Notamacropus eugenii: one gene and its partners. The protein of the gene in region 3 binds, or shares a complex with, the protein of the main gene of each other region. Links are inferred from orthologs where the notes say so. Each region holds a gene or a part of one and is shown on either strand. Other genes may lie near its edges.

Region 1 (7,277 bases), on a different chromosome or scaffold from region 3:
CTAGCAGCAGCCACCCTGCATATATATATATACATATATACACAAACAAATACACACATATATATGCATGCATGTATGTATGGAGATATATATACGTATATATATCTACATCTATTTACAGTTATATATATTTGTGTTAGTGTTTCTTATTAACACTATGGAAGACTTGAAAGAAAAACCATGTTTACAAAAGTGAGATATGACATTAGTCAATTTCATCTCAATAATTTATCATCATCATTATAACAACATCTGCAAACACAACTTCTTGACACTAAATGATTATTCCTACCACAGCCTCCAGAAATCTGTGCCAAAAGTTTACCACCCAACAACACAGTGATATCCCAGATTAATATTATTGCTGTCGGCAAAACAGAACACTGAGAAACAGTACTCTGGTTTAGACAACACAAGTCTAAGGTTTTATTTTCAAATGGAGGAAAATATCAATTCAGAGGAAAATATCAATTAGCTCATACATGAATACCAAAGAGCACAAAACAATATTAAAGACACTAATTTCAAGATTATAGCATGCTCTATGTAGGTGCATTTAACACATGTCTCAGAAAATTTAAAATATAGGTACTAAAAACCAAATTTAAGCATATATAGAGTAGAGCTTCTAGGATACTGAAGGAGAATTTCGCCTCTAAAAATAAGGCATAACACTCCTGGAATATCCACTGAAAATTTAGACTGGCTATTTTAGGCTAATGTTTTCTTCTAAGTCAAATTAACTAATTTTCACAACTGTAGCTGTTAACAGTCACAAAAATAGGCTAATGCTGAAAGTAGCAAAAAGCAGAAGGCAGTAAGACCCTTAAATCAAGAAAGCATGAATCAAAAACACTCACTGATTATTCTCTGTGCAGGAAGCCTGTGCTACAGATGCTTTTTTATTTACCATTTATTATCATTCTGATTCATTTCAATCTTGAATGATGGGGTAAGTAAATCTTGAAAAATCTTGAAAAATACCTTAAGTATCTAACCTTATGTATTGGTATACTAAGAAGCAAATCAATTCAAAATTTTGGATGAAAATATGAAATGTGGCTTTTAATCCTAAATCATATACATAATTCATTTCCTCAGTTCAAGGCAAAAAAGAGTATAACCTAATTAATGATTTCAATTACAAGTCATAGCAGTGTGCAAGAATGGAAAGAGAACAGAGAATTAGGAGTTCTAGGTTCAAGTCCTGCCTCCATCCCCATATAGCCATATGACCCTTTATAGTCACTTTACCTCTCTGGGTCTCCATTTTTTCATCTGTAATATGAAGATAATACTTGTTCTGCCTATTTCATGGGCTGTTAGGAGGATCAAAGGAGAAAAAGGACATCAAAGGGCTTTGTAAACAAACAAACATGAGGGATCATGGCATTAAAAGTACTACTCAAATAAGGTTTACCTTTTCTGCAATACTATATAAAACTTCATCCATTTTCATACAAGTAGGGTCCCAATCATGTCCAAACCTAATAACAACAACTCGGTCCTCTTCTGAAAGAATCGCTTGATCCACCTGCCAACCATTGTGCAAATGTGGAAGCATGTACGACATCCTGAACAGTCAGTCTGAGTCCTGTGGAGGAGAATTCACTTATCAGAAAGCATGCTTTCTTATCGTGCATCCCATTGCTTCTAACATTAAGAAATAATCCTGGCAACGGCAGACGATTAACACTTCAACACAGACTAGGGAGAATCGAAACACTCCCCAAGGCCCCTCACCGTCCCAACCGCGCCTACAACTCTACCGCTACAAGCTATACTCCTCCACACGCCAAGGAAGACCCTCCTCCTCCTCCTTCCACTCGAGGCCCACAGTCTAAGAAGCCCCTACAGAAGACTAAAAGGCAAACCAACTCAACATTTTGGGTCTTCATGGAAGACGCTGGCTTTTAATACCAGGTCATCCACTTTCCTCATTTCCTTAATTCAAGGGAAAACATAAACGTTTAAGAATCGAATTAAGGAGCTCAATGATGGGTGGCAGCAGCGTACAGTAACGGGGAAAGCAAGGGAAAACGAGGGGCTGCGAGTCCCACTCTGGCCCGCGCCCCTCCGTGTCCGCGGGGTCCTGCACAAGTCGTTTTACTTCTCTGCACTCAAGGCCTTGGCAGCCTCGGACTGACCTCCGGGGGGTCGCTAATTCATTCACACCACGGGGGAGGTCGCTCCCACTGCAGCTTTTCTGAGTCTGCCCTGCTGTCTAAGGGGGGCCGCGGCCGTGCACCCCGGCGCTAAGGACAAGGGCTGCGGCGGCATCCGTCACCGACCTCGGCCACGCGAGACCTCAGGGGCCGGCGGCGGACAACACGCTCCCGTCCGGGCCGCCAAACCGAGGCCGCGCGTGCCCAGAGGGCTACACCGGAGCCGAGCCTCGGAGAGCGAGGCGAAGCGAGAGAAGAAAAGGGCTCACAGCCGCAGCGGGGCCGGGTCCTGACGAAAGGAGGTGACGCACAAACCTGCCGGCAAAGAGAGAAGATCCAGCTCCGGGAACCGCCGGTGGAACCGCTGGCCCGACGTCTTCTCCGCCCCTAACGCGTCACACGTATGTGCGTAAGAGCGCAGAGCGTGCGCGCCCCCGGCCCAGTTGGGGGAACGCGCTCCCTGTAGGGCGCGCGCGCGCGTGCTTAGACCCGGGCGGATCGCTCTGCAGCTCCATCTCCAGCCTTATCTGAGCTAGCGTGGTTGCGCCGGTTCCTATCTATCCAAAGGGACAGAATGATGGATCAAATCCTCTAGGAGCTTACCTTTCATTAACGCTGTAAGGTTTGCAGAGCACTTCCCCCCCATATCAATCACGTCCCCCGCTGAATGAACAAGCGCCTACTTTGTGACCCTGCGCCAAGGACTGGGACGGTAGATCAGCAGTCCTTCAGGAGCTCCATTTCTACAGGGCAAGTCAGCGGTCAGATGCCTCTACACACGCCTTAGGTGCAGTGTAAAAGGAAGCAACCTCAGGGGGAAGGCCCTGCCAGCCGGAAAGAGAGAGGTGACCTCTGAGAATCCGAGGGGGCGCAAGCGAGGAGCGAGACCCCGGATCGATCAGAGCGCTACCTCCAGCGTCTTAGTGATCTTCTCAGCAACCGTGGTCCAACAGTGAGGCCCATAATGAAAGTATCACCCTCATTTTACAGAGGAGAACGTTTGGGGGTAGGTCAGCGGAGCAAGACGCGAATGACTGTCACTGACATGTAGAAAGAAGAGCTGGGTGAGGAGTGTGGGAAACAAATCAGGAGACTGGCGTAGGGAAGGGATGAGGACCGCGACAGGGGACTTCACTTATCCAGACATCCAGTTAATCAATAACCATTTACTAAGTGCCTACTGTGTGCCCAGCACTGTGCTAGGTGCAAAGGATAAAGCAAAAAGCAAAAGACAGTCCCTACCCTCAAAGAGCTCGAAGTCTGATGGGGAAGACAACATGCAAATACATACAAGCTATATACAGAATGAATAGGAGGTAATTATAGGAAAGGCTTCCTGTGAAAGGTGTGGTTTTGGTTGTAACTGGAAGGAAGCCGGGAAGCCAAAAGATAGAGAGAAGAGGAGGTAGAGCATTCCAGCGCACAGAGACAGCCAGAGAAAATGCCCAGCTGAAAAACTGAGCATCTTCTTTGTAGGAGAGCAAAAAGATCGGTGTCGTTGGGTCAAAGTGATGTGGGAGTCGGAGGGTGTTAAGTGTAAGAACTAAGTAAGAAGACTGGAAGGTAGATGGGGAGGTCTGTGTTTTGAACAGCTTTGAATGCCAAACCAAGGATTTTATATTTCATGAGGGAAGTGGGATGAGACACTGTTGTTCATTGAGTGCATGGGTGACATGGTTGGACAGTTCCACTGGTTAGAACTTTCTCTCTCTCTCTCCCTCCCTCCTTCCTTCCCTCCCTCCCTCCCTCCCTCTCTTTCTCTCTCTGTCTGTCTCTCTCTGTCTTTCTCTGTCTCTCTGTCTCTCGATGACAAAAGCAGAGCAGCTAAAGATCGCTTGTTTTTGCTTAGTGGTAATTTCTTCCTTCTAAAGGTAAAGAAACCAACGGGGAGAAATTCTATTTTGAATTTGATTCTCACTAACCACAAGGAATTGTTTGCTAGAGTAAAAATAATGAGATCCCTGGGGGAAAGTTACCACTTTTTCCTACAGTTTGTGATAGAGGAGAGGAAATACATCAATCTGACTTGCACTTTAGGTGTTTGAGAAATCAGGTTCAAAGGATTCACAAGAAAGATAGATAGAATCCCATGGACTAAAATGCTATAGAAATAGTCAGCCCGGGGGAATGGGAGTTACTCAAAAACAAAGAGAAACTCCTCATAAAAAGGAAAAAGATATGTAGAGAAAGAAAACCGAAACAGGACAGGTAATGGAGGATGAATATAAAGCAATGTGGTCCTAAAAATAATACGGAGTATCCCAAAAGACAATGCAGTTTTGAGCTTGAATTTAATTTAATAATAATAAATTTTAATTTAATTTAATAATTTAGTGGTTCAATTATTAAACCACTAATTATAAAATAATAATTAAAGGTTTAATTTTAATTTAATATTTAAACTTAAAACTACACTAAGACTTTTTGGGATATCCTATATGGTTAGGAATGCAAAAACTCAGAAAGAGCTGAGGCTAAAAAGCTAAGGACAAAGAAAAGGTTTGGGTTTTTGTTTTGTTTTGAATTAGTATTCATACTATATTGGGAGAAGACTAACTATATTTCCCTCCATCCTATCCTGCCCCCCATTTATTCTAGTCTCTCTTTTGACCTTGTCCCTCCCCAAGAGTGTTGACTTCTAATTGATCCCTCCTCCCATTGCCCTCCTTTCCATTATCTCCCCTGCTGTGCTTATCCCCTTCTCCCCCACTTTCCTGTGTTGTAAGATAGGTTTTCATACCAAAATGAGTGTGCATTTTATTCCTTCCTTAGTCAAATGTGATGAGAGTAAACTTCATGTTTTCCCTCTCACCTCCCCCCTTTTTCCCTCCATTGAAAAGTTTTTCTCTTGCCTCTTCTATGAGAAATAATTTGCCCCATTCCATTTCTCCCTTTCTCCTCCCATTATATTCCTCTCTCACCCCTTAATTTTATTTTTTTAGATTTGATCCCTTCCTATTCAACTCACCCTGTGCTTTCTGTCTCTCTCTCTCTCTCTCTCTCTCTCTCTCTCTCTCTCTGTGCGTTTGTGTGTGTGTGTGTGTGTGTGTGTGTCTAATCCCACCAACTACCCAGATACTGAAAAAAATTTCAAGAGTTACAAATATTGTCTTTCCGTGTAGGAAAGTAAACAATTCAACTTTAGTAAGTCCCTTATGATTTCTCCTTCCTATTTACCTTTTCATGCTTCTCTTGATTCTTGTGTCTGAAAGTCAGATTTTCTTTTTAGCTCTGATCTTTTCATCAAGAATGCCTGAAAGTCCTCTATTTCATTGAAAGACCAATTTTTCCCCTGAAGTATTATACTCAGTTTTGCTGAGTAGGTGATTCTTGGTTTTGGTCCTCGTTCCTTTGACTTCTGGAATATCCTGTGCCATGCCCTTTGATCTCTTAATGTAGAAGCTGCTAGATCTTGTGTTATCCTGATTGTATTTCCACAATATTTGAATTATTTCTTTCTAGCTGCTTGCAATATTTTCTCCTTGACCAGGAAACTCTGGAATTTGGCTACAATGTTCCTAGGAGTTTCTCTTTTTGGATCTCTTTCAGGAGGTGATTGGTGGATTCTTTCAATATTTATTTTGTCCTCTGGTTCTAGAATATCAGAGCAGTTTTCCTTGATAATTTCATGAGAGATGATGTCTAGGCTCTTTTTTGATCAAGGCTTTCAGGTAGTCCCATAATTTTTAAATTGTCTCTTCTGGATCTATTTTCCAGGTCAGTTGTTTTTCCAATGAGATATTTCACATTATCTTCCATTTTCTCTTTCTTTTGGTTTTGTTTTGTGATTTCTTGGTTTCTCATAAAGTCATTAGCCTCCATCTGTTCCATTCTAATTTTGAAAGAACTATTTTCTTCAGTGAGCTTTTGAACCTCCTTTTCCATTTGGCTAATTCTGCTTTTTAAAGCATTCTTCTCCTCATTGACTTGTTGAACCTCTTTTGCCAATTGAGTTAGCCTATTTTTAAAGGTGCTATTTTCTTCAGCATTTTTTTGGGTTTCCTTTCACAAGTTGTTGACTTGCTTTTCATGCTTTTCTTGCATCTCTCTCAATTCTCTTCCCAATTTTTCCTCTACCTCTCTTACTTGATTTTCAAAATCCTTTTTGAGCTCTTCCATGGCCTGAGCCCATTGCATATTTATTTTGGATGTTTGGGATGCAGAAGCCTTGACTTTTATTTCTTTCCCTGATGGTAAGCATTGTTCTTCCTCATCTGAAAAGATAGGAGAAGATATCTGTTCAGCAAGAAAGTAACCTTCTATAGTCTTATTTTTTTCCCCTTTTTTGGGCATTTTCCCAACCAGTTACTTGACTTTTGGGTCCTTTGTCAAGATAGGCTATACTCTGGAGATCTGTAAGATCTCAGTTCCTCCAAGGTGGCACAATCAAGTGTGTGCACTGGTCTGGGAGCAACAAGAGACTTTTTTGCCCAGAATCTGTGAGTAGTTCAGTTTTCTCTCCACAACCACCTGGCCTCCAGTTCTACCAAGCCAGCACTGGGGGCTAAGATTCAGATAAGCTGCTCAATTCCCCTGGGGCTTTAGGTGGGGGCAGGGCTGCCATACAGGGCTGAGGTACGGATCAACTTTTCAGTTCCCCCAGGGGCTTTACAATTCAACAATGGATGCAGGTTGCTGTGGAAGCTGGTGCCACTGATGTGGCCTCTGCCGCTGACACCTGAGGCCAGAGCTATGGGAAGACCCTGCTCCCTTCTCAGCCAGCTGAAAAAACCCTCTCACTGACCTTTGTTGCCTGTGGGTTGAGGGATCTACAAACTGCCACTACTGCCACTGGGGATTCTGCCCCTGAGGCCTGCTTGGGTCTTCCTCCCATCACGCAGCCAAGGCTAAGCTGGGCTCCACTCCGTATTTAGTGCGACAGACCTTTCCTGTTGGCCTTTCACGTCACCCTGGGCTGGAAATTTCCTCCCCTCTGTTGTTCTGTGGCTTCTCCTGCTCTAGAATTTGTTGAGAGTCTTTCTTTACAGATATTTTATGGGCTGTGGGGGAAGAGATAGTGTATGTGCACCTTTCTACTCTGCCATCTTGGCTCTGCCCCCCCCAATTTCCAGATTAAAGGTGAATCCTGAAGTGCTCCCAGAGAGAGAAAAA
Region 2 (7,767 bases), on a different chromosome or scaffold from region 3:
GTAAATCAGATAGTGAATCAGAGGGGGTAAAGCAAAACTCTGGCAAAGCTGGAACAAGACAAACTTACACAGTACCTACATTTACAAAGTCTCCTCCTTGGATCATGAAATCTTTTATAACCCTAAAAACAGGACAGACAAAGATATCAGAAAGGAGAAAGTGACTCATGACACACAGGAAGGTGTCCCTGGAAGCCCCAAACCTTACCTGTGAAAAGTGCTTCCCTTGTATCCGATAGGGACTCCATCTTTCCTACAACCAAGGAGAAAGATGAGAAATGGAGGGACCACAGGCAATCCCAGGCCCCTCTGTAAAGCACCCCTGAGGTGGAGAAAGACCCCTCCCCAAATTGCCTCTGGAGAAGTAGGAAGATAGGGTGATTGACTAAAAGAGAAGAGTGACAGAGAAGAAGTGCGCCTGCATCCCTGATCCCAGCAGCTTCCCTAGGCCTTGATGGAAGCTTCCCAAGGGTACTGACTCCAGCTTTGGGCAGGTGGCTCCCACCCAAGCCATGCCTAAGGGAAATAAGCAATTTCTAGACTAACCTGAATTCTCCTGTGCAGAACTGCCTGAAAGAAAGAAAAATATTATCTGCCAAACCATACATACTGAGAAATGATAGAAAAGAGAAACCTTGACCTAGGGGTTGGGTAAGGGAGATACCCCAGCCATCTGTAAACAGAGGTTCCCACATGCTCATACACATACAGGGAAGTGTGTGTGCGTCTGTGTGTGTGTGCACGCGCGCACGTACAACCTGACACTGTTTACAGGCCACCATATACACAGAGATGACAGAAACAAAATAATCACAAACATTAGAGACAGGTACACAACAATAGGGATTCTGCTCTTCCCTCCCTACCCCCAGATACTGGGAACAGTAAGACAGGCAGACAAGCAGACAGATGATCTCCCCCACCTCAAGAACAAAACAAAACAAAAAACACCACCTTCGAGGAAAATGGAAAGAAGTAGGAGTGAAGGGTGTTTGGTATAAAGTGGTCTCAAGTTATGTTACACAAAGCAGTGTAACCATCAAAACTACGTGGTGCTAAAAAATATAAAAAATTAGAATGATGAATAATCTTAGCTAGCAAAACCTAGAATCAGATCAGCACAGCATCCAATGTTTGACAAGCCCAAGGTACACAAATTACTGGACTCTTTATTTGATAGGAAACACTGAGAAAACAGGATAGCAGTCTGGTAGGAAAGATCATTGGTTCTCAAGTCAGAAGACCTGTGTTCAAATTCTGTCTCAGACACTTATTACCAAAGGCACAAAACCTCCGTGGAGATAAGGCACATCTGCAAAATGAGGGGGTGGGAACATATGGTCCCAGAAGTTTCTTTCAAGTCAAAAACATGATTCTAAAAAACAATCTAAATATAAAATGTTGCCCCAAAAAAGAAATTAGAGGGCCATGGAAGGTCATCTTCCACAATGTGGATTAAAGAATCAATCTTTAATCAACCAGCTGCAATAAAACAAGACATACAATTTCAACTATAAAATTAAAAATATAAAACTATATATATTTTATTTTTATTTTATATAAGACAAATATAAAATTATATTAAAATACTATATTTTTTTATATTTATATAAAATAAAACATACAATTTCAACTATAAAACAAAAATAATGCAACTAGAAAAAAAGGAAAAGATATGAATGAGAAAAATATTTTCATTAAACCTATCTTATGAGAATCTAACATCCAAAATCTATAGAGAATTACTGCAAACCTCCTAATATTAAGTCATCAAGACTCTGGAATCATAATCTTAAGGGAAATCTCTAAGATTATGAAGTCACATACCTATGACTCCAAGAGACTTGCGATCATGGGATAAAAATAAGTAGATGGAAAGATAGCACTGATTAAATGCTTACTATGTGCCAGTTTTCAAAGATATATGTCATCAACACATCATCTGAAAAACTGCCCCAAATTACTAAGGATCAAAAGAATGCAGAGGAAGACAAAAGAGAGACGGATAACAATGGGCAAATATGGAAAAATATAAGGATGGAATAAAACCGTGAGTTGACCCAACTTATTTGGAATTATGCAAGAAAGGCTGTTACCCTTTGACCCAGAAACCCCACTACTGGGCTTATGCTCTAAAGTAGGATACGGGCAAAACAAATCAGACTGTAGGGAAGAAAGATGCTACAGACGGACGGACGGACGCTGGCACAGACACGTGGGCTAAGTCTCCTTCCCTCCCCCACCTCCCCACGCCCTCGGGGACGGGGGTGGGGGGGCAATTCCCGGACCTGAAATTCTCCGCGGTCTTGGGCACGATGTCCGCAAAGAGTTCAATCTTCATTCGGCCAACTTCCTGCAGGGCGGGGCAGTGCCAGGGCGTGTCGGTGACGTCATCTCATCATGTCCCTCCCGTTATTCCCCGTCCCATGGTCCCCCCACCTCCATATTTGGTTCTGCCAATGCATTCTGCCCAGGCTCCAGGGTCTAGGTCCCGGTCAGTCTGACCCATCCTGGATTCTGACCCTTCTCTTTGTTCCTTGTCCCGCTCGCTACCCCCCATTTCCGAGCCGTTTGGTCCCGCCCGCTCTCCCCCCATCCTAGAGTCTTTTGGTCCAGCCCATGGTCCCGCCCATTCCCCCCCATCTTCCGGACACATGGATCCCGCCCACTTTTCAGACTTCACCCCCTTCGCCATGTGGTTCGCGGGGTTCCACTGCTCCCCCCGTGCTCCCGGAGCAGCGGGCAGCAGTCGCCTTCAGCCCTTTCCCCAGTCATCCTGCACTGCCTGGATCCATGCCCGTCCCACCTGGCCACCGATGCTAACGTCGAAGAAGACGATGGGGTTGACGGGGCTTGAATTTGCCACGGCCATGATCCTGACACGGAAGCGGAAGCCGGCCGGCGGGGCTCCCGAGGTCGCTGAGTCGGTCCGGCAGCGGCGCAGACGTGCTGGAGCCTGAACGCCGGGCTCCGCCCCCTAGGCCGAGGTCGGGCTGGGCCTGGCGTCTGCGGGAAGGGGCGGAGCTACGGAGGCCCGGTGGGCCAGTGGCCACGGGGACCCAGGAGCTAGGACAGCCAAACGCTGTACACGTGTCTCCCATTTCCTTTGTGATGGTCCGAACCGCTACTGCCATCTTGGTTTTTTCCTCCGTCCCACCCTCACACATATGCTTTCTCAAACCTTAAAATAAACTCATAAAACATTTATTACCAGACCACTGTGTGCAGTGCACACGACCACCCCTTAAAATGAAGCCCCTGGCATGTGCCTGCGGCTGTGGGCGGCGGCACTGGAGGTTTGCCGGCGTCTCCTGTTTGGAGGCCATTGAAATAACAACAGAGATGCTGAGTTTGGTTGTGTATCACGTGGGTAGGTGCATTAGAGGGGCCTGGAGCCACAGTTCTTACCAGGATCCGGGGACCCTGTGTACAAGAGGCTTACAACCCCCGTTTTGCTCTCATATGATCTCTTGGTAACCTCATTTCACATTTCAGTTATGTATGCAGATGATCCACAGTTCTATACTGAAGAAGCATGCTATGTATCTTAAGATCTATCACATATATTGACGGGGGATGTCTCAATGTATAGATAAGGAGAGACAGGACCATGGATAGCTCTGGGATCTTGCATATATGCCTCTTCAAGAGAGACCATTCCTTTCTCTTAGAGGAGAGCAAGAGAAGGGGCCAGGAAGTTGGCTGCATTGTTCTTCCCTGAGACAGAGGCAATTAATAAATGCATATTGACTGACTGAGAGATACTGCAATAGAATTTATCTATATGTCCCACTAAATATTATTGGTCTGGAGCCCTATTTTTTAGGCTCCAAAGTATGAGACAGCGAAAGTTAAGTTTTCACAATAAGTTATTGTTAATTGATGAAGTCATTGAGAATAAGTTAGATAATAAGAAGGCCAGCGGACTGCAGGTGGACTCAGCCAATGAAAAGACCAACAGTGGCCTTCAGAAAATTACAAAGTTTTTGACAATGGAACCAAATCTACAGCTAGCTGGAACTAACCAAGAAAAATCACCTAGAGTTACCTGGAGAAGCCTTTTCTTCAATGTACTTGCTTAATGAACTTCATGCATATAAGCAGACACACCCCACATAAAATTATCCCTCCAATTTCTGATCATGGGTCCTATAGAGCATGTTTGGGAGGGGAGGTCATACTAAGGGAGGTTACACAATGGGCATGTAGAGAAGATGGTGACCTAATGGAGGACTGACCAATCCATCTCCTGGTGGGAGGATCTGTCTTGAACTAAAATTGTATAGCTCATCTCCCTTCTGTATTCAGCATTCTCTCTTCCTGAAAAGAGGGAGGGGGCCTGCTTTGGCCAGAATGATCAATTCCTCTGAACTCTGCTGCAATAAATTTTACTTGATATCTTATTAGTGTCAAGAGTGTCTCTAACAAAAACTACTGAAGTGCTAGCTTTCCTGGTGTTTCCCCTGTAAAAGAGGAAAGGCACCCCAGGCGCAAACCTCTTGACTTGATTCCTTCCCACCAAATGCTAGAGCTACATGAAAGACTATCGCAAATAGCAAATAATGAGTAAACCTACTGATCCAAGCAAATAGGAAATGGAAATTGCATATATTACACAGATTAGAATATTCCAGAAAAGGCACAAGAGTAAATGACCTCTTTGGATGAGATGATATCTTAGTTTCATCAAGTGAGAGGCTCTGATCTCACTCCACAGGAAATGCCCTGAAGTCTGTAAAGATACAATTTGGAAATCAGGGACATGTTGAAAAGTCAGCTTCTCCTACATCTTTGCTGCTTCCAACATCTTTTTTCTTTTTCCTGTCTGATATTGGTCTCAAAGAGTGTTTGGAACCCCACTTGTTTTCCCTAAAAGGATGAAGACTGTTACTCCTCTCCAAAACTGTCAAAACAAATCTGCCCCTCAAAAAAATCATGGGGGATTGCATTAGCATTCCCTCTACCAGTCCAGAATCACATTCTACAGGAAGCATGTAACAAAAAGGTGCTCTTTTCTAACACAGCTTGATTGGAATTTGAGTTACGTATGATAATCAATTCTAGTCTCTCTCTCTTTCTCTCTTTCCCTGGTCTCCTTGTCATATTCCTCTTCTTTTGCCAAACCACAGCCCTGGATTACTTCCACTTTCTGCCTCCTCTGCTCTTGGTCACCAGGAAGCCAAAACTGTGCTTTCTGGGTATGTTACCAATTTAGATTATCCAATCTAAACTAGGTCCTCATTTCAGCAAGGCGGTCCTCATCCTTTCTGAGTTAAGGACCTTGCCTCTACTAAGAATAAGGAGGTGATTTGATATGAGAGCCCTCTTCTCATATTCTCTTCATCTTAAAACACTATGATACCGTTTTCCATCCTTTCTTGTATCCCCCCATAACTCTGACAAAGAAATGGTCCTTCTTGCCAAGGTCAATCATTTTTGTGTACGGTCAGTTCTGTTGCAACCTTTGTTTTGAAAATTCAAATTTGTTAAAATATAATTGATATATTAGGGAAAAATTTGAGCTTTCAATTTTACTTATATGCAATTTTATCCATGAGAAACAGAATGCAGAAAACTATACCACTTCACAATAATACACAAACAAAAACCTTTCTGATGCTCACTTCCTCTAGCAAACCAGGTCTTTTTCAAGGCAAAGTGTCGTATTTATTGTACGCTTTTGGTGCAGTAGGGACTGATCTAAACTCTATCCCTACTCCCCTCCATCTTCTGCTGACCCCTCATATCTGAAATTTCATCCTTTCAAGCCATTCTCTTGGGCCATAGCCATTGACTTTGCCAGCCTGTGTCCAGTGGGAACCAAGGTGCAGACTGAACAGCAGCCCAAGGTCACACACACTATTTATCATAGTATTTGTGTTTCTTAATTATTTTTAAATATATCAAACTTTTCTATTTTTATAAATGTTTTTATGTCACTGATAAAGTTTTTGAGTGTTTTATTTCTAATCTCAGTTCCCCCATAAGTCTTGTGGGTTTTGTTGCATGACTTTGCATATTATGGTGATTTTTAAAAAATGCATGTGTCACATTATAGCAGAACTGGATGTATATTTGACCCCATTTTCTCCAGCATATTGTATCTCCTCTCTTTCTGTAACCTTCCATTTCTCAGTATTTACCTGTTTCTTTCCCTACTGTTTTCAAAAACTCCCAAGGATCCTCTACCTATAAAAACTTTCCTTAGACCCTATCTCTCCTCCCTTTCTAAGCCAAACTCCTTGAAAAACTTGTCTTATACTTGATTCTTCTGCCTCAAGTTTCTCCCCACTCCTATCCATCTTCCATTCAGCCACCAAAGTGATTTTCCTAAAGCTCAGGTCCCACTCCCTACTTAATAAACTCCAGTGATTCCTTATTACCTCCAAGATCAAATACAAAATTCTCTGTTTATTATTCAAAGCTTGTTATATGTGCCTTCTCCTACCTTTCCAGTCTTCTTACACCTTACTCCCCACTACATATTCTTCAGTCTAGTGACACTGGGCTCCTTGCTATTGTATGAACAAGTTACTCCATCTCTCAGCTCTGGATGTCTTCTCTGGCTATCCCCTCATGCCTGGCATCCATCTCTCTGCCTACAGGTTTCCCTAGCTTCAAATCTCAGCTAAAATATTTTTTTCAAATGCAGTGCTTCTTAAACTGTGGGTCATGACCCCATATGGGGTTGTGAAAAACTTGGCAGCAGTAAAAGGTTTCTAAATGCACAATGACCAAAAATTAATTCAAAATCAAACTCGTAATGAATTAGAGGTGTTTCTGGGAGTGCTTGCCCATATTGCATCCAACCTTGTTTCCGAACACAAAGCATGCGCACTTTGTACTGTGCATGCCCTCCAACTATGCAATGCCAACACACCCTGCTGCCAAAACTGAAAAGGGGTCACAAGTAGAAAAAGTTTAAGAAGCCCTGTTCTAGAGGAAGTGTTTTCCTGCCCCTCTTAATTCTAGCCTTCTCTCTGTTAACTATTTCCTAGTTATCCTGTATATAGTTTGGTGGTACATAATTTTTTTTTTCTCTCCCCTATTAGATTTTGAGCTCCTGAGGGCAGAGACTGACGTTTGCCTTTCAATATATTCCCAGGGCTTAGCTCAGTGACTGGCAAAAAGTAAACACAAGAAATCCTTGTTTGACTTTTTTCTCCTCAGTGCTTTACACACTGCTTCTGACTTCATCACTCAATTGAAAATACTCTTTACAAAGTATGACCTCTTAATTGCCAAATCTAATAGCCTTCTCTTGGTCCTTATCCTCCTTTACCAAAGCTGCTACATGGCACAGTAGATAGAGTGCTGCACCTGGAGTCATGAAGATTTGTTCATTGATTGATTGATTGGCTAGAGTTCAAATCTAGCCTCAGACACTTAGTAGCAAGTCATTTAAACCTCAGTCCACTTCCCCCCGTCTGTAAAATGGGGATAATTATAGCACCTACTTCAAGGGTTGTTGTTTGAGAGGATCAAATGAAATAACATATTTGCACATATTGTCTACAAAATGGCTCTGCAAACCTTAAATGCTATGTAAAGGCTAGCTATTGTTATTAGTGTCACTGTCTCAAATTTCTCACTGATTCAGTCCTTAAGCACACATCTGACCATGTGACTCTCTTAATCAGCTCCAGTGGTTTGATATTTCCTCTAGGATCAAATATAAACTGTTTAGTTTTTAAAACCCTGCACAATCAGGCTTCAACCAACATATATTTTCAGCATCATTGCCCCTTACTTTCTTCCCGCTCCCCC
Region 3 (7,983 bases):
CACTGATCTCCAAAGGTTTGAGGCCCAACTTGGCTCGGAGTTTACTGAGAACAAAAGAGATAGCTACGGTTATGAGGCTCTCAGGAAACATGGGGCAACTAAATTCTGGATGGACTAAAGAGAAGGAACTGGGGAGAGATGCTACTCAGCACTCATTTGGAAGGATCGGTAACAAGGCCTCCTTAGGTCCATTAGCAGAACACTATGCTGGAAGAGGTCAGAGGGCATTGGGGAACTAAGCCTTCCCATCACTCACTTGGTCTCCTCAATGCTGAGAGATGAGGCATCTCCAGAGCTGGCCTTGGAGCCAGTGGCTAGAACGAGAAAGACAAGGGTCAGGCTCCCTCTGTGCTGCTTTGAGGGCATCCTGACCACAGTTCAAAGAATTAACATCTGGAAGCCCAGAACTCAGGAGTTCTAAGCCCCAGACAACACCTGGTGTAGACAAGAAGACTGTGTTTACTTCCCTGGCCAACCCTTGCTGGGAAAAACTTCTTTAGCTCCACAAGCCAGCTTTTCCTCTGCAGGAATTATCATACCTTCCCTGAAGTCCTGGGAAGGCACTTCCTTGTATTGGTTGGGAGAGGACAAGTTAAGAGTCAGGGGCTACAAATGTTTCATTATCCCTCCAAATCTGCCAATCTCAAGCCCTGCTTGAGAAGCATAAAACAGATTTCTGTTTTATAGATAGAGAGTTTGGCAGACCACTTAGAATCAAAGTATCTCACATCTGGAAGGGACCTCCAGTCCAGTCTATAACTAAGCAGGAAGCCCACTGCAGTAGCCCATTTCACTTTCAGCTCTCCCAGCCCTAACCCCACTCTGGCCTCTGGCAAACCACTCTAATCTTCCTGAGCTCTGACTTCTTCACATGTAAAATGGTGCTAATTCTCTCTACCTGAGTTGTGGAGGAAAACATTTTGTAAATCTAAGGTAAGTAAGAGCAAGGTATTACTGCTTGAGTCTAAACCCTCCAATAGCTCCTGGTAGAACATGGAGTCAAGGGTGAAGTTATTTCCTTGGTATATGAGGCCCTCATCCAGCTGGGAATGGTCCACTTTTGCATCTTGTCTTACCCACACCCTGTTCTCCAGCTGAAGTGAACTACTCATCATCCCTGTACATTTCCAGGCTCCCCACCTTCAGGCCTTGGTGATTCCCAATACTTTCCCTTCCTGAATTCCTGCTCCTCCTTTAAAATCAGACTTGAACGTCTTATTTCTCTAAGAACACTCTCCTGGTTGTTGATAACCTTTCCCCTCTGACCTTCATGCTTGCTGCATTCACAGGATCATCAAAGTTTTGGGTTTCATCCCCTAATGAACTTGAGCTCTATGAGGGCAGGAGCCGTGTCTCAGCCAGGGCCCAGGACAAACATTGACGGTACAGAGTCAGCAGAAACACACCCAGATTTGGCGTCACATGACGCGGCTCCCCAGACTCAGAGCTGGAAGGGATCTTTAACATCATCTAATGCAATTCCCTTCTTTGGGCAACTCACACCCACGACCCACGGCCTGGGCCGCAGCTCCCTTCCCCTCCAGGTCCAGGGGCTCCCCCCGGGCTCTGGACATTCTCTCTGGCTGTCCCCAGCCCGACTTCCCCCGGAAGCCTCCCCTAGTCAGTGATGTCGTCGCCCCTGCCAGACTGTAAGCTCCTCCAGCGCGGGGCCCGCCTTGGTTGCAGTCTCCGCACCCAGGAGGCACCTTACCGACGGAGCCCCCCCCCCCATTAGCGCAGGTCAGTGGTAGTTACGCTCCCTCGGCCCCAGGATCCGCGACCTCGAACCACAGCTGTGCCTCAGTTTCCCCACCTGTCTGCGCGGGTCCCTGCAGATCCTAGACTTAATGGGAGTGGGGAAAGATCCGGCCCAGGGCTTACACTCCCGACCCTGCCCCTCAAGCTCCACCCCCACCTCGGCTGCGCTCCCTTACTGGCCCACTCAGGAGGGAAGGCCCCGCCCCCGGCTGTTCATTGGCCCCGCCTCCCTCAAGCCCCGCCCCTCGGGCCTCGCGCTCACCAGCTTCGTAGCCGTCATCGCGCTTCTCTCGCTTCACTCTCCGCTCCGCAGGCTCTGCCTGGCTGCGCTCGCGCCCGTGCGCGCTCCCGTTACGGGCCTCGGTCTCGCCCCCGCGGCGGCTGCTCCCCCTCTCGGCCCCGCGCTCCCGGCTGCGCTTGCGCCGCTCGCTGGCTCCGCCCCCGCCGCTCCCGCTGCCGCCGCCCCCGCTGCGATGTTTGTGCTTCTTATGCTCGCGATGCCGGGGCGCCTGCTCGGCTGTGCCCGGGCCCGAGCTCCCTGCTGCCCCCGCTCCGGCCCCCGCCGCCGCCTCCTTCTCCCCGCGGTGCTTCTTCGAGGAGCCCATGGCGGCTCCGCTCCCACCGAACCCCGGCCGCCGTCACCGCCGGCCCTGACGCGGAATGCGAGCTCTTCCGGGTTACGGGCCGCCCCTCGGCGGCTGTTGCCGGAAACCAGTAGGCGCCGTTTCCGTTGTGCTCTGGTCCTCTGGCCCAACGCCCGACGGGAAATCAGGCCCGAGGCTTCCGGCGCCCGCTCGTCACTGCGCTTTCGCCGTGGCGCCTCTCTTCTTTCCCCCTCCCAACGCATCCGGGCCGAGAGGCGCATGCGCCAGGCTGGGCCTGCGGCTGCGCCAAATCTCAGGCTGCCTGAGCAAGGACCCTTTGTGTGGCTGAAGCATGGCGCCTGGAAGGGGGATGGGCACGCATGCGCAGCTCGGGATAGGTTGGGCGCGTGCGAGGTTCTCCTTACCCCCTTGGCTCCTGCTTCTGCACCCTGGCAGCCCCCATCCCCTCTCCTTCTCCTGTGGGCTTGCCCTGCGGATCCAACGGGTTCAGTTACATCTCTGTGAATCCTCCCTGTCTCAGCTACTGGGTAGTGGCCAGTGTGAGAACGCCCCTGCCCGCTCTGCTGCCCAGCACGTGGAGCCCGGAATACAGCCTGGGCACAGAGAGGCGGGCTGGCAGCGGGGAGCATGGAGGGAAGCGTGGCGCCTGGACCCGGCAGCCATCCCGGTGCCACACTTGATCCGTTACCCTTAACCTCGCCTCCTCCATCCTTGATTACTTGCCACCCACGTGCCTCCAGCTGGTGCCACCCTTGACTACTTCCCTAGTTACCCCAGTCTCATCAAGATCCTCCTCAGATCTTGCCCATGGTCTTTCTGTACATAAGTTCCATCTCGCCTCCATGAAGGCGCTCAGATTCAATCCGGCTCCAGCTTTGTAGCTCAGATTCTCTCTGGCCCACTTGTCAATACTGATGTCACCCATACGGTGAACCTTTAATAAACTTTGTTTTACTTTGGCTAGAAGAAGTCTTGCGTTAAATTCATTCGATGGGACCTGGCGTATTGGTATTTTGGGGTCCCCAGCACCCCAAACCTCATGGTTCCCAGACCTCAACAAGACCACTCATCCAGTCTCTCTGTACCCTGCAGTGCCAGCCCCCCACCTGCTGGCTCAGCTCGATCTCCACAGGGGAGAATAGAGATGAAAAAATACTTAAGATTTAACCCTCGAGTGGTTGAAAAGTCTGAATTATTTAAAACCCTGAGTTTGTGAAAAATCAAAAAATGAAACATGAATGTCCTACAGGGTCTATTGACTTCAAGTCAGAAGTTAAACCAATGTAAATTAATTGCTAGAAACAAGGAGACCGAGGGAGCCAAGAAACATCTTAGAAAACACTGGACTTATTTGCCAAACAAATACCTTGGGAAGGCAATACATGTCTAGAATATAAACTCGTTTGTAAAATCTTACAGAGGATGATGGTGAATGAGCAGAATTGTCTCATGAAGCAGACAGAGATAGCAGTGGAGGGTAAAACCAGTCTAAAGAAAGCTTGGCAAGATTTCCAACTGAGCAAAGTCATACTGAGGGAATTAAAAAATGAAAGTGGAAAGAAGACCACAGAGAGAGGGAAAAGAGAAAAGATTTGCAAAAATGAATAAAACATTCTTTTCTTATATATAGACACACATATGTATAGAGAGAGAAAGGAGAGCTGCTGTGGAGGCAATACAGTGGTAAGGGATTATAAACTTCCCTTGTGTTCATTGATTTAAAAAAAGCATTCCACTAGAATTCCACTGGAGTAAAAGCTTCCTGGACCCCCCTACCTCCCCTACAGGCTACTGTTTAACTAGGTGTATCCTATCTCTACATTAAGCTCATTCAAGATTCTAAGATGCATCAACAGAAATAACCCTATTCAGTGGCTCTCTGGTCAGAAACACCCAGTGTGGCATAAAATAGGCAGATGTGTTCTTGCCTCAAATATTTGCCTTCCTGATGTTGATCCACAAAGAGTCCTTTGGAATGGTGAGGTCCTTTTGACATTCCTGTTTGAGAGTGACATGTTGATTGCATCGAACCAAAGACTTTGCAGAATCTCCTGGAAGAGATCTTTTAACTATCTAGAAGAATTTGATCTGTTCGCTCATCCAGGAAAGATCAAGTAGGCGAAGACAGGGTATTGCTCAGATTTTGACATACATCTGGATTGGCAATCTACAGGGCTTGACCAACAGGATGTATTTCTGAGATAAACAATAAATGCACCATGAGCTAGATCCAGATTTGAAAAGAAAAAGGAAAATTAGATTGCTTTTGGGAAATTGCAAGGTTCTTTTACCAACTGATTGGTTCCCATAATAGCAAAGGGTCAGTCTTTTTAACATTGGACCAATGCTGCTGTATCACAACAAGACCTGAAAGCCCATTGTCTTTGAAGAACTAAACATTAGTATCACATCAGGGGCACCAGAAGAGCACATGGTAGGCACAAGCAGGCAGGTGACATCTAACCAACAAGGGATCCCAAGTAACAGTGGTAAAGGACATCAAAGAATTACATGACAGATGACAGGTATATGAGGGATACCTTCCACTGGATGGAAGGTTTTCATTTTTTTCCACCCACTTAATAGTACTGTACTTCTTCCAGTTACATGTAAAGAAAGTTTTCAACATTCAATCTTAGAAGAATTCGAGTTCTTTTTCTCCCTCCCACTCTTTCCCCCTCCACAAGACTGCATGCAATCTGATATAGGTCATGCATGTACAATCATATTAAACATATTTCCACATTGGTCATGTTGTGAAAAAGGAATCAGAACAAAAGAGAAAAAACCACAAAAAAGAGAGAAAATCCTATATTTTGATATGCATTCAGATGCCATAGTTCTTTCTCTGGATGTGAATAATAACATTTTCCATCATGAGTCTTTTGGAGTTCTCTTAGATTCATCGCATTGCTGAGAAAAAATAAGCCTATTAAAGTTGGTCATCGCACAGCGTTGCTGTGACAGTGTACAAGGTTCCAGTTCTTTTCACTTCATATAGCATCAGTTTATCTAACTCCGAGTTTTTCTGAAATCTGCCGAACAATAGTATTCCTTTACATTCACATACCACAACTTGTTCAGCCATTTCCCAGTAGATGGGCATCCATTTCCAGTTCTTTGCCACCACAAAAAGAGCTGTTATATTTTTGTACATGTGGGTCCTTTTCCCTTTTTAATGATCTCTTTGGGATATATTGCTGGATCAGAGGGTATGCACATTTTTTTTAGTCCTTTGGGCATAGTTCCGAATGGCTCTCCAGAATGGTTAGATCGGTTCACAGCTCCATCAACAATGCATTAGTGTTCCAATTTTCTCCAGCATTTATTATGTTTTCCTTTTTCATCATATTAGCCAATCTGATAGTTGTGAGGTGTTATCTCAGTTGTTTTAATTTGCATTTCTCTAATCAATAGTGGTTTAGAACATTTTCTTCATCTGAAAACTATTTGTGCAAATCCTTTGACCATTTGTCAATTGGGGAATGATTTGTATTCTTATAAATTTGACTCAGTTATCTACATATTTTAGAAATGAGATCTTAACAGAGACACTGGCTATAAAAATCATTTCCCAGCTTTCTGTTTCACTTCTAATCTTGGTTGTATTGATTTTGTGCAAAACCTTTTTAATTTAATGTAATCAAAATTATCCATTTTGTATTTCATAATGTTCTCCTATCTCATTTGGTCATAAATTCTTCCCTTCTCCATAAATCTGAAAGGTAAACTATTCTTTACTCTAGTAATTTGCTTGTGATGTCACCCTTTCTATCTAAATCATGTATTGATTTTGACCTTTTCTTGGTATACAGTGTAAGATCTTGGTTTTATGCCTAGTTTCTCTGTACTATTTTCCAGTTTTCCCAGCAGTTTTTTGTCAAATAATGAATTCTTATCCCAGAAGCTGAAGTCTTTGGGTTTAACAAACAGTAGATTACTAGTCATTCACTACTGTGCCTTGTGCACCTAACCTATTCCAACTGATCCACCACTGTTTCTTAGCCAGTACCAAGTAGTTTGAATGATTGCTGCTTTATAATACAGTTTTAGATCTGGTATGGCTAGGCCACTGGAAGGTTTTTTACTGTGCTGGATGGACCCCTTGTGGTGAACTTTTGGGAGGATCTGGACAAAATGTGTTGCCTGGGATGGACAGGCTACCTTCTGTATTGTTGAAGAGAATACCCAGATCAATGAACATTTAAACATTCCCAGCATGAACTTAATAACCATTGCTTTATTTTTTACATAAACCCTCTTAAGAGCTTCCTCTGAGGGTTGGTAGAAATTATGACTGCATGTTAGGTATTTCTTGTGTTGGCCAGTGCTGGAAGATTTGTTCTTCTGGTACCCAAGAAAGGAAATTCATGGTCCTATGGCCAAATTGGCCCAAGATCCCACCTCTACTCAGAACCTTCTGGGACTGCTCCTTTCACCAACGATGAAGTCTGACACTTCCCAGCTTGGCAGAATTGGCCAGTGGATGTACTGATGAGAGCTAAGCACTACTTAGAACCAGCTTCATGAAGTCTGCCCTTAGTGCAGGGAGGGTTAGAGACATCCTACCATCTGGAATCTTGTTTCAATCATTTTTTGTTAATGAAATTCTGTGGTAACTTACTGATGGGCTCCCTGCAAGTGCTGTGGGAATGCTAAATTCAGAGCCAGATGACAAAATCTCAGTGCCCTATCATAATTGCAGCTTAGCCAACTTTACCCCCTGCCCAGATTTAGGCATTGGAGGAAGAGGTTAGTGAAGGTCAATACTGCCAACCATCAGTAGCATAATTAATACGTTATGAGTAGGACATGTGGACATATGTTTTGTGTGACGTATAAATACTTCTCAATGGGTGAGAGAAGAGAATTTAGAAATAAAAATAAATGAAAAATACATTGTGAACATAGCTTGCGTTTGGAACCCTAAGACCCAGATTGTGTGGTTGGTGACAATCTGTGTCATAGGCTCAGAAATTTATAGCAGGAAGGAACTCCATCCAGTCTAACCCCATGATGTTACAGATGAGGAAACTGAGACCCAAAAAAGTTAAGTGACTTGACTGAGATCACAGAGCTCACAAAGTGGAGCTTTTTTTGAGGCCTAAAGGGTTCTGAGCATCGATATTACCGTATTTCTTGCTGGGGCCTTTGGACAAGTCACTTGACTTCTCTGGGCCGCTGTTTCCTCCTTAGAAAAAGAATAAGTTTAGTCTACATGGTCCTACTGGGTCTGCAAGATCTCATCTCTACACCCTCCTTATTGTCTGTATGTTCCTGTGCTGACCACCAGCCCAGCCTACTTCTTTGCCTGATGAAGGGTCAAGGAGAACTCTGACCTTTTAAGGCCAAGTCAGATGGCCTCCCTCAAGAAGCCGTCCTTGATCCTGCTGGCTGGTCAAGGACCTTCACTTCAGATCATAGGCTTTGAGCTCAAAGGGGACCACAGAGGACTTCAAGTCTAACTGATATAAGAAATCTGGGGTGATTTACCCAAACTCATAGAGCTACTGTCTGAAGTGAGATCTGAACCCAGGTCTTCCTGACTGCTATTTTCATACACCCATAATGCCAACCATGTTCTGGGATCCATTAGGTGTGTGGTTCCTTCTTAACCCTC
Region 4 (7,872 bases), on a different chromosome or scaffold from region 3:
TATAAGATTGCAAGCCATCTGAGGGAGAGGGGGGAGAAAATAAGAAAACTTATGGAAGTGATTGTTGAAAATTTAAAACAAATAAATAAATTTGGAGGGAAAAAAATGAACTAAGGGTATACTTCAAAGGATTTGAGAATATGAGAATCCTAAACCATAAATCTATTTTTCTGCATTATGCCACTTTGGGAAAGACCTTTTAATAAAAAAAAATGAATACGAAATATGTATATAGAAAAAGAAAAAAAGAAAATTGCTAAATGAAATCACATGAGTCTTTCTGGGTAGTATTCCTCTATCACCACCATCCCTCCACATACCTTCTCAAATTGAACTTTTGCTGTACAAACACCTAAGTTAATGACTAAAGTCTATCTATGGATACCAGTTCAGCCCTAGGGAATAGTCATCCAAAAAGCCTGATGTGTTCTTAATCTGGAAATGTGGCAGTGCACCAACTTGACTTCAGTATCAAACCTTATGTTCTAAGCTAGCTGAATTTTCTTGTAATGTCTACCTGTCTTGCTGGCTGGGCCAAATCTGTGTGTTAACTCTATTAGTGGCACTAGTGCCTTAACGTTGGTGTTTGGCAAAGCCGAAGTTCATTATGCTGGCTAAGATTCATTACCATCAAAGCTTCCAACTGCCCCGAGGCTTATCCTCAGAAAAGAACTTGGAGGCTGAGTAGAGATGGGTTGGGGGGAGGGTTGGACTCCACAAGTAATTTCATTAGTATACAAAGCTCCCAATGAGGAAACCAAAAGAGGGTAGAGAGGTTCAGAATCTTGGCTCCTAGGTTCTGAGAAACCTGGCTTCCTGGTCTGTTCAGGCACCAGAAAAGTCTGTTTTTGAAGAAAAGTCTTCAAAAGCTCTGTTCTTTCTGGCCCCAAATCCATCATTCTCCTCCACAAAGTGCGTTTGGACTCACGATTCCTACAAGTCCAGAAGCTTTCCTCTGCCCTCTGCCCAAAGTTTGTGAGCCACTCCTGGTTCTTCAATCTGATGCTTGTGGCTCTCCTGTGAACTCCCAAACTGTAGTCTCTGGTCCACCTAAGTTCTCTGGCTTTCCTCAGGACCCATGGAGTCTGCAACCTTTCTTTATACCCAATACGCACAGTCAGCAACAGGTAGATCAGGTGCATCCCCAGTAGGGCTCATAATGAAAGCCCTTAATGTAACTGAGGTATCAAGGATGATGACACATCATAGGCCCAGGTTACACTCCTTGTGCATTTTTTTAAAAGTTAAAAAATTATGATGTTGAAAGCAAGCTATAGTTTTTAGGAGGAAATGAAAGCCAGTTCATAAAACATTTTAATAATAGCTATAATTAATATAACTTAATATAAATAAATATAATTTTAATAATAGATGTTCAAACTTTTTTGTTGCTCAGTCTTGTTTAGTTTTGTTGTCATTTTCAGTTGTGTCCAACTCTTCATGACCCATTTAGGGTTTTGGTTTTTTTTTAAAGAGCTTAATAGATGTTTATTGACTTGATAACTACTAGAAGACTCAGAAATATACTTTCTTTCATGTAGTACAGCACTCACATAACAATGTACATCAAAGGTTAACCAGTGGCAATGATATTGAGCACAGCTGAAAGGAACTTGGTTCAAATGCAAATTAGATCATCAAGGGCAAAGTTCAAATACTCTCAAATGTAATCCAAACTGAACCTATGTATAAATCAGGCAGGCTTTACTGATTTGAAATAAATCAAGGTCTTTATCTGACCAGAATCCCCAGCCTTTTAAAATCCAAGACCTACAATTTTTCAGCTCCAGAGGGGGCTGCCTGTTTAAAAAATAAACAAATATATTTTTATTTTTTATTATTATTTTATTTGTTTTCAGTGTTCTACAATCACTTCCAATGTATCTTAGATTTTTTCCCCTCCCTCCTCCCTTACCCTCTACCACCCCTCTCCCTCCCTGAGATGGCATACAGTTTTATATAGGTTCTACACATACATTCCTATTAAATACATTTTCACCTTACTCATGTTGCATAGAAGAATTAAAATGAATGGGAGGAATCATAAAACAAACCAAAACGTAATACAAAAGAAAATGATCTGCTACATTCTGCAATCGAATTCCATAGTTCTTTCTCTGGATGTGGAAGGCATTTTGCCTTAAGAGACCACTGGGAATTTTTTAAATCCTTGCATTGCAATGAAGTACTAAGTCTACCAGAAAAAATCCTCATAGACTGTGGTTGTTGCTGTGTACAGAGTTCTCCTGGTTCTGCTCCTTTCACTCAGCATCAGATCATATAAGTCTTTCCAGGCCTCTCTGAAGTCTTCCTGTTCATCATTTCTTATAGCGCAATAGTATTCCATTACATTCATATGCCACAATTTATTCAGCCATTCCCCAATTGACGGGCCTCCCCTTGATTTCCAGTTTTTGGCCACCACAAAGAGGGCTGCTATAAATATTTTTGTACATGTGGGACCCTTTCCCATTTTTATGATCTCTTGGGGATACTGGAGTGGTTTGCATTTTCCTTCTCCAGCTCATTTTACAGATGAAGAAACTGAGTAAAAGGGTTAAATAACTTGCCCAGAGTCAAGCGAGTATCTGAGGCTGCATTTGCACTCAAGTCTTTCTGATTCCAAGCCCTGCCCTCTATTCCCTGCAATATCTAGCAGCCCATTTAACTTTTAAAATACATTTTTAAAAAACCCATTCATATTCACTATCATATGCAAGATGAAGTGGTTAAAAGTTCACAATGTATGGCTTGCCTTGCTTGCTCCCTAATATAAAAAGACTGAGTTTAATTGAAATTTAAACATGCATAGTTCCATATGAAAATGCTTATTTTGATATGAAGTGACCTTCAAATCAAGGTTCTTCTAAGTAATGATGTGTACACATCTACACTAAAAACTCAATCTTCAACGTTCCTCTCCCAAATGAAATAGGTTTCTAGACAGAATACTTTAGACTAAGATAACACATCCTAAAATACCCACTCCATAAAATAACAGACGTGACCACACTCACCTCCAGATCCTTCCGGATACTCTCGAATTCCTCAATGTCATCTAGCTTCAACTCCAGGCGAGTGGGTTTTCGTCGGAGCATCCTGGTAACAGTTCAACACGTCCAAGCCAAATCCACCAAACTGTCAAAATTTAGGGAGAAGGAAGAGGCTCTACAAGAAGCATACTCTGGTGGGGATGGATTTTCTGCAAGCAAACAACGATACCCTAAACGTACACACAACCTCCTGAGCTGTCAGGAAGCCTCAATGACTCTGATTTCACAGCCATTCAAAAATAGCTGCCTGTGAAACACATAGAAACCAAAAGATGTACAATCCACTTTAATCCAGTAGTACTTCAGCCACATTCAGAGAAATGTACAAGTTTATACAGACAGTTAAAAATAACTTTCCTTAATTCAAAATGAATTACCATTTACAAAATGGATAGTGACAATCACTTTAATACCCTTTGCCTGGGTTTTTAGGGATTTGTGACCACTGGCAAAAGTCAAGTTAAGATTTCATTTTCAAATGAATCACACAGTGGTTGACTTCCTAATTCTAAGGAAAAGTCTCTTTGATTCATAACTATATAATGACTTGATGCAAACTTTTTCAAGGAACAAAAAACAGAAATAAACAATTGCGCAGATTTATGCTAAAATGTTTACAGAGGATTACGCTTTGTAACCATTAAAATGATTACAGAGGAAATCAATAATGCTAGGGTCATTTTTTTTAGCACCATTTAATGATCTGAATTTTAATAAACCTTTTTTTTTTTGGCTTTTCATAGACTTAAAAAGTTTTACTGGTGTTTTTCATGTTGTTATTTCTGAATATCCTTTTCCCCTCCCCTGTAACAGATTCCTATTTAGCAGTGTTAACCTCCCCAACTATTAGCATTGATTTAACATCCCTCTCTTCGGTAATGAAGAACAATGGACCGGAGTCCCTCAATGAGTATGCATGCCAGCATATGCTTTCCCACCGTATTTTAGGATTCTGGGCATACCCACCACACTCTCCAGACCCACTTCAATCCTGGAACCAAGATGAACGGCAGGGGATCTGAGATGGACGGAGCACTAGGTTCAGCGCATCAACCGAATATAAATACAGTAGGCAATTTCTGAGTGGTTCTTATTCCCCATCATCTATATCTAGGTATTTCCCCTACCTCCTTAACGTGGGGTGGGGAAGGGGAGGGGATGGAGGATGCCACCCTGCCTTGAACCTGGTCTACTCCGTGGCCCTTAGTTTCGCCATCTGTAAAACGAGAGTTGACCCATTTCCCCTCTAAGGTCAGTGGAATCAGACTGTGAAGGGAGAGGGAGGTTGTGGTTGAGGCTGGAGCCGTCGTTTCCATGACTACAGAGAGGCAGGCCAGCGGACCGAGCAGCAGGGAAGCCGAAGCCTGCCCGCCGGCGGCCAGCTCCTTCCTCCCGGCTCACGTCCCCTTCCCTTTCCGCCCGCCTCGCCCCAGGAACTAGGTCCTCAGCTCGAAGCAGCCCTCATGGCCCAACACCCACCTCCCCCCAGCGCGGCGCGGCTCAGCTCAGCTTGGTTTAGCCCAGTCCCGGGGCGAAACCGACTTCTCGGACCCCTACCGCCTCCAGCCTGTTCCACTCCGCCTTTCCAGCCACCTACCAATCTTCTGTAGGCTTGACCGCAAGGACTGCATCTCCCGACATGCCGCGTGGCCCCTTCCTTATCCGTCGCTGCTGACTACCTCTCCCAGAGTGCTCCGCGCTTCATTCCCTCAGGTTGCAACAGAAGCCCCTAGACGAAGACTACAATCCCCGGCCTGCTCCGCGCCTCCCCGGGCTTCCGGACTCCGTTTAGTTCCGGTTATGTTCTATTTCCGACACGTTTCGAAATTTCCGGTCCCCTGAGCGTGGAGTGAGTCCTCCGGCGGTGGGGGTCAGCGGCCGTGGTGGTCTGCGATTGAAATTCTTACCACAACATGGCTTCTTCTCGAGCTTCGGCTACGGTGCGGCTCTGGCCTTGGTGTTTAGGGATCCTTGGGAGTTCTCCCCACGTGTAGGGGAGCCGGAATTGGCTTCTGCCCTTCCACTGAACCCGCGCTCAGGGAGATGATGGGTGGGTTGGTGCAGAGGCAGGGGGATGGACTCGCCGAGTTCCTGACTCCTGACTCTGCCGCCCCTCCGAAGGGAACTGGCCTCCCCTCCCACCCCGACGGAACTGGGGCCACAGCTGGGGTTTGAAGTCAACGCGGCGGCGGGGGGGGGGGGGGGGGGGGGGAGGGGGGGAGTTGGAGTTCTAAAAGAGACAGTGTGGTAATAAAAAGTTGCCCTGGACTCAAGGTGGGAGATCGGACTTCCCAGCTCTACACGAATTTGGTTAAGCCTGTTAATTCCTGGCCCCAGTTTCCTTCTGTAAAGAGAGAAATCTAGATGAGATGCTAACTTAGACTTTTTCAGCATCGTGTTCTGTCATTGGGTTTTAGTCCTAGCTTTGTCCAGATCCCAGACAGATCGCTGAACCCTAGTTTGTCATCTCCAAAAGGAGAGTTACAAGGAAGCAGTTGTTAGTTCAGGATTGGGGAGGGACTTAACAAAGTTGTGGAAAAGGCTTCTGTGACAGATGGTGACTTCACCTTCACTTGGAAGTGTTTGAGCACAATTTGAATGACTGCTGGTCAGGGATGTTACAGAGGAGATTTCCTGTATCTGCAAAAGGGATGGACTAGATGATGTAGACTCTAAAACTCCAAAATTGTATTTAAAAAGGTGATAATCCCTGATCTTTTCCCTTCGTAGGATTTTTGGGAAGATGAAATAAGATTATGCATGTATAAATGCATTGAAATCTAGAAAGTTCTATAGAGATTGTAGTGTACTTCAGAGTTGAAAAAACATAGACCCCAATTTAGAATTTTCTTTGGTTTAACCAGAGGTAAATTTTCTCATTATGTTTCCCTTTAAATTCACTGCTTAAATTTATTTCAGGTCCTTTATTATCTAAATGACTCTAAAAGGACATTGAATGGATAGCAAGCTCAGTATGCTATTGATAACGTAAATGAACACTCATTTCTCCAAGATAGATTGCACCTGTCCCCAGAGGTCTTACATCTTAATAAGCAGTATCAAAGTAACCTATTGATTGGGAAATCACTCAGAAAAAGATGGAGTTCATTAGTTTCATCCCACACGTTTCTTGTCCCGAACATGCTCTCATGTGAGGGATGCACTAAAACAATTACTACCTTATCTGAGTGGGGAAAGTTCCAACTGGTGCTGTGCTTATTTCTGCAGATCCAGGAATAGCATTTGGTTTCAGAATTAACACTTCAGGCAGTTCCGAAGGTTGCTCCAACTCTAGGTTAACTCTACTTTTTGATTTTATAGGCAACCAAAACCCCCAGTAGGACTCCTGAAGACACTGCCTCCCCTGTGGTGAAGAAGCCTCATATCTATTATGGCAGTTTGGAAGAGAAGGAGAAGGAACGTATTGCAAGAGGGGAGTCAGGGATGTTGGGGAAAGAAGGAATTAAAGCTGGAATTGAGGCTGGAAATATTAATATAACTTCTGGTAAGACTAGTTTTGGACTAATCTTTTGTGTTGCCTGTTCTGCCTGGTCTTAAGTACGGGTTTTCTAGGTTTGAATATTTTCTCCTTTTACTTTGGGCCTTGATTAAAATAAGTTTTGCATTATCAACTATAGTCTCTCCTTGAACTTCTCTTTATGGAAGCGTGATTTATAAATGGTATCTCTGAGACTAAGTTTTACTTTGCCTGCCTCATATCCATGGGCCTTTACATTCTTGGGGATTAATAGTCTAATTTGTATTACATTAGTCTGTCATATGGTTGTAAATTCTACTAGATTTTAAATTCCTTGAAGGTACTAAACCAATCCTTACAATGTGTCAGGTACTGTGCCACACACTAAACATGTGAGTGCAAAGAATGTAGCATTCCCTACAGTTAGGCAACAAATACAAGCCTTAATGGCTGTATGTTTGTATATATACACATATACGTATACATGTATTTATATATTTCATAAATTTAAAGTGAATAAATACAAATATATACAAAGAAGTTAAAAACAAACTTGCTGAACAGATTGTTTTGGCCTTGTATTTACCATAGTGCCTAATGTAGTATGCACTTAAAAGTAGTCATTCTTCTCATCTTGTGTCTTCTCAGACACCTTTTTCTTCCCCACATCTTTTTGGTAGGACTGTTCCTATGAATTATGAGTATTTGTACTAGAAAGTCACTCAGAGTAAGTTCATAGAATCATATTCTGCTTCTTCAAAGAACAAGTTTAACATGGTCCTGATATTACTGTTTTGAGCCATTGTGGTCATGTTTATTTCTTTTGCTTTTTTTCTTTTCCAAAGTTTTTATTTGATCGTTTCCCTATACTACATCTGAACAGCTAAGCCACTGCAGCTTAGCCAAGACTCCCTAGTATTGATTCTAGTTTTAAAAACAGTTTTTTTTTAACCTGATCCTGTCTGTAAACTTGTTTTTTGCTTTTTTAAAAGTTAAAACTTTTAAAATGCACTAAGAGTTTTGGGACAATCCTTTATTTTGTTGTTCAGTCATTTCAGTTGTATCTGAGTCTTCATGACCCCATTTGGGGTTTTTTTGGGCAAAGACACTTCCTTCCCCAACTCATTTTACAATTCAGGTAACTGAGACAAACAGGGTTAAGTGACTTGCCCAAGGTCACACAGCTAATAAGTATCTGGGGCTGGGTTTGAACTCAGGTCTTCCTGACTCTAGGCCCAGCATCTATCTGCTTAGCCACCTAGCTGCCCCAGTCTGTGTCTAGATCACTGTAGTTTGTTGTAGTTGATTTCTGTTGTATATTTCATTTTGTGTATTTAAAAA

The links.
Region 1: SART1 (region 3) and TXNL4A share a complex: the UniProt entries of both Homo sapiens proteins name them as parts of the U4/U6-U5 tri-snRNP complex. The link is inferred for Notamacropus eugenii from reciprocal best matches to the Homo sapiens genes SART1 and TXNL4A.
Region 2: SART1 (region 3) and PPIH share a complex: the UniProt entries of both Homo sapiens proteins name them as parts of the U4/U6-U5 tri-snRNP complex. The link is inferred for Notamacropus eugenii from reciprocal best matches to the Homo sapiens genes SART1 and PPIH.
Region 4: SART1 (region 3) and PRPF4 share a complex: the UniProt entries of both Homo sapiens proteins name them as parts of the U4/U6-U5 tri-snRNP complex. The link is inferred for Notamacropus eugenii from reciprocal best matches to the Homo sapiens genes SART1 and PRPF4.

Annotation. Positions count from the first base shown.
Region 1 is NC_092875.1:200,531,219-200,538,495, reverse strand, and holds the start of TXNL4A (thioredoxin-like protein 4A), read right to left. Parts: upstream 3,007-7,277; 5' UTR 2,769-3,006; intron 2,624-2,768; exon of another isoform or gene 2,148-2,623; intron 1,595-2,147; 5' UTR 1,574-1,594; coding exon 1,421-1,573; intron 1,320-1,420; exon of another isoform or gene 1,279-1,319; coding exon of another isoform or gene 1,255-1,278; intron 1-1,254. UniProt on the Homo sapiens protein: Plays a role in pre-mRNA splicing as component of the U5 snRNP and U4/U6-U5 tri-snRNP complexes that are involved in spliceosome assembly, and as component of the precatalytic spliceosome (spliceosome B complex).
Region 2 is NC_092876.1:74,540,784-74,548,550, forward strand, and holds the start of PPIH (peptidyl-prolyl cis-trans isomerase H), read right to left. Parts: upstream 3,001-7,767; 5' UTR 2,873-3,000; coding exon 2,807-2,872; intron 2,354-2,806; coding exon 2,289-2,353; intron 571-2,288; coding exon 547-570; intron 254-546; coding exon 209-253; intron 123-208; coding exon 80-122; intron 1-79. UniProt on the Homo sapiens protein: PPIase that catalyzes the cis-trans isomerization of proline imidic peptide bonds in oligopeptides and may therefore assist protein folding. Participates in pre-mRNA splicing.
Region 3 is NC_092873.1:18,651,221-18,659,203, reverse strand, and holds the start of SART1 (U4/U6.U5 tri-snRNP-associated protein 1), read right to left. Parts: upstream 3,006-7,983; 5' UTR 2,364-3,005; coding exon 2,021-2,363; intron 315-2,020; coding exon 257-314; intron 45-256; coding exon 1-44. UniProt on the Homo sapiens protein: Plays a role in mRNA splicing as a component of the U4/U6-U5 tri-snRNP, one of the building blocks of the spliceosome. May also bind to DNA.
Region 4 is NC_092872.1:478,475,141-478,483,012, reverse strand, and holds the start of PRPF4 (U4/U6 small nuclear ribonucleoprotein Prp4), read left to right. Parts: upstream 1-4,867; 5' UTR 4,868-4,966; coding exon 4,967-4,993; intron 4,994-6,374; coding exon 6,375-6,558; intron 6,559-7,872. Other genes in the region: anaphase-promoting complex subunit CDC26, read right to left, coding at 3,018-3,098. UniProt on the Homo sapiens protein: Plays a role in pre-mRNA splicing as component of the U4/U6-U5 tri-snRNP complex that is involved in spliceosome assembly, and as component of the precatalytic spliceosome (spliceosome B complex).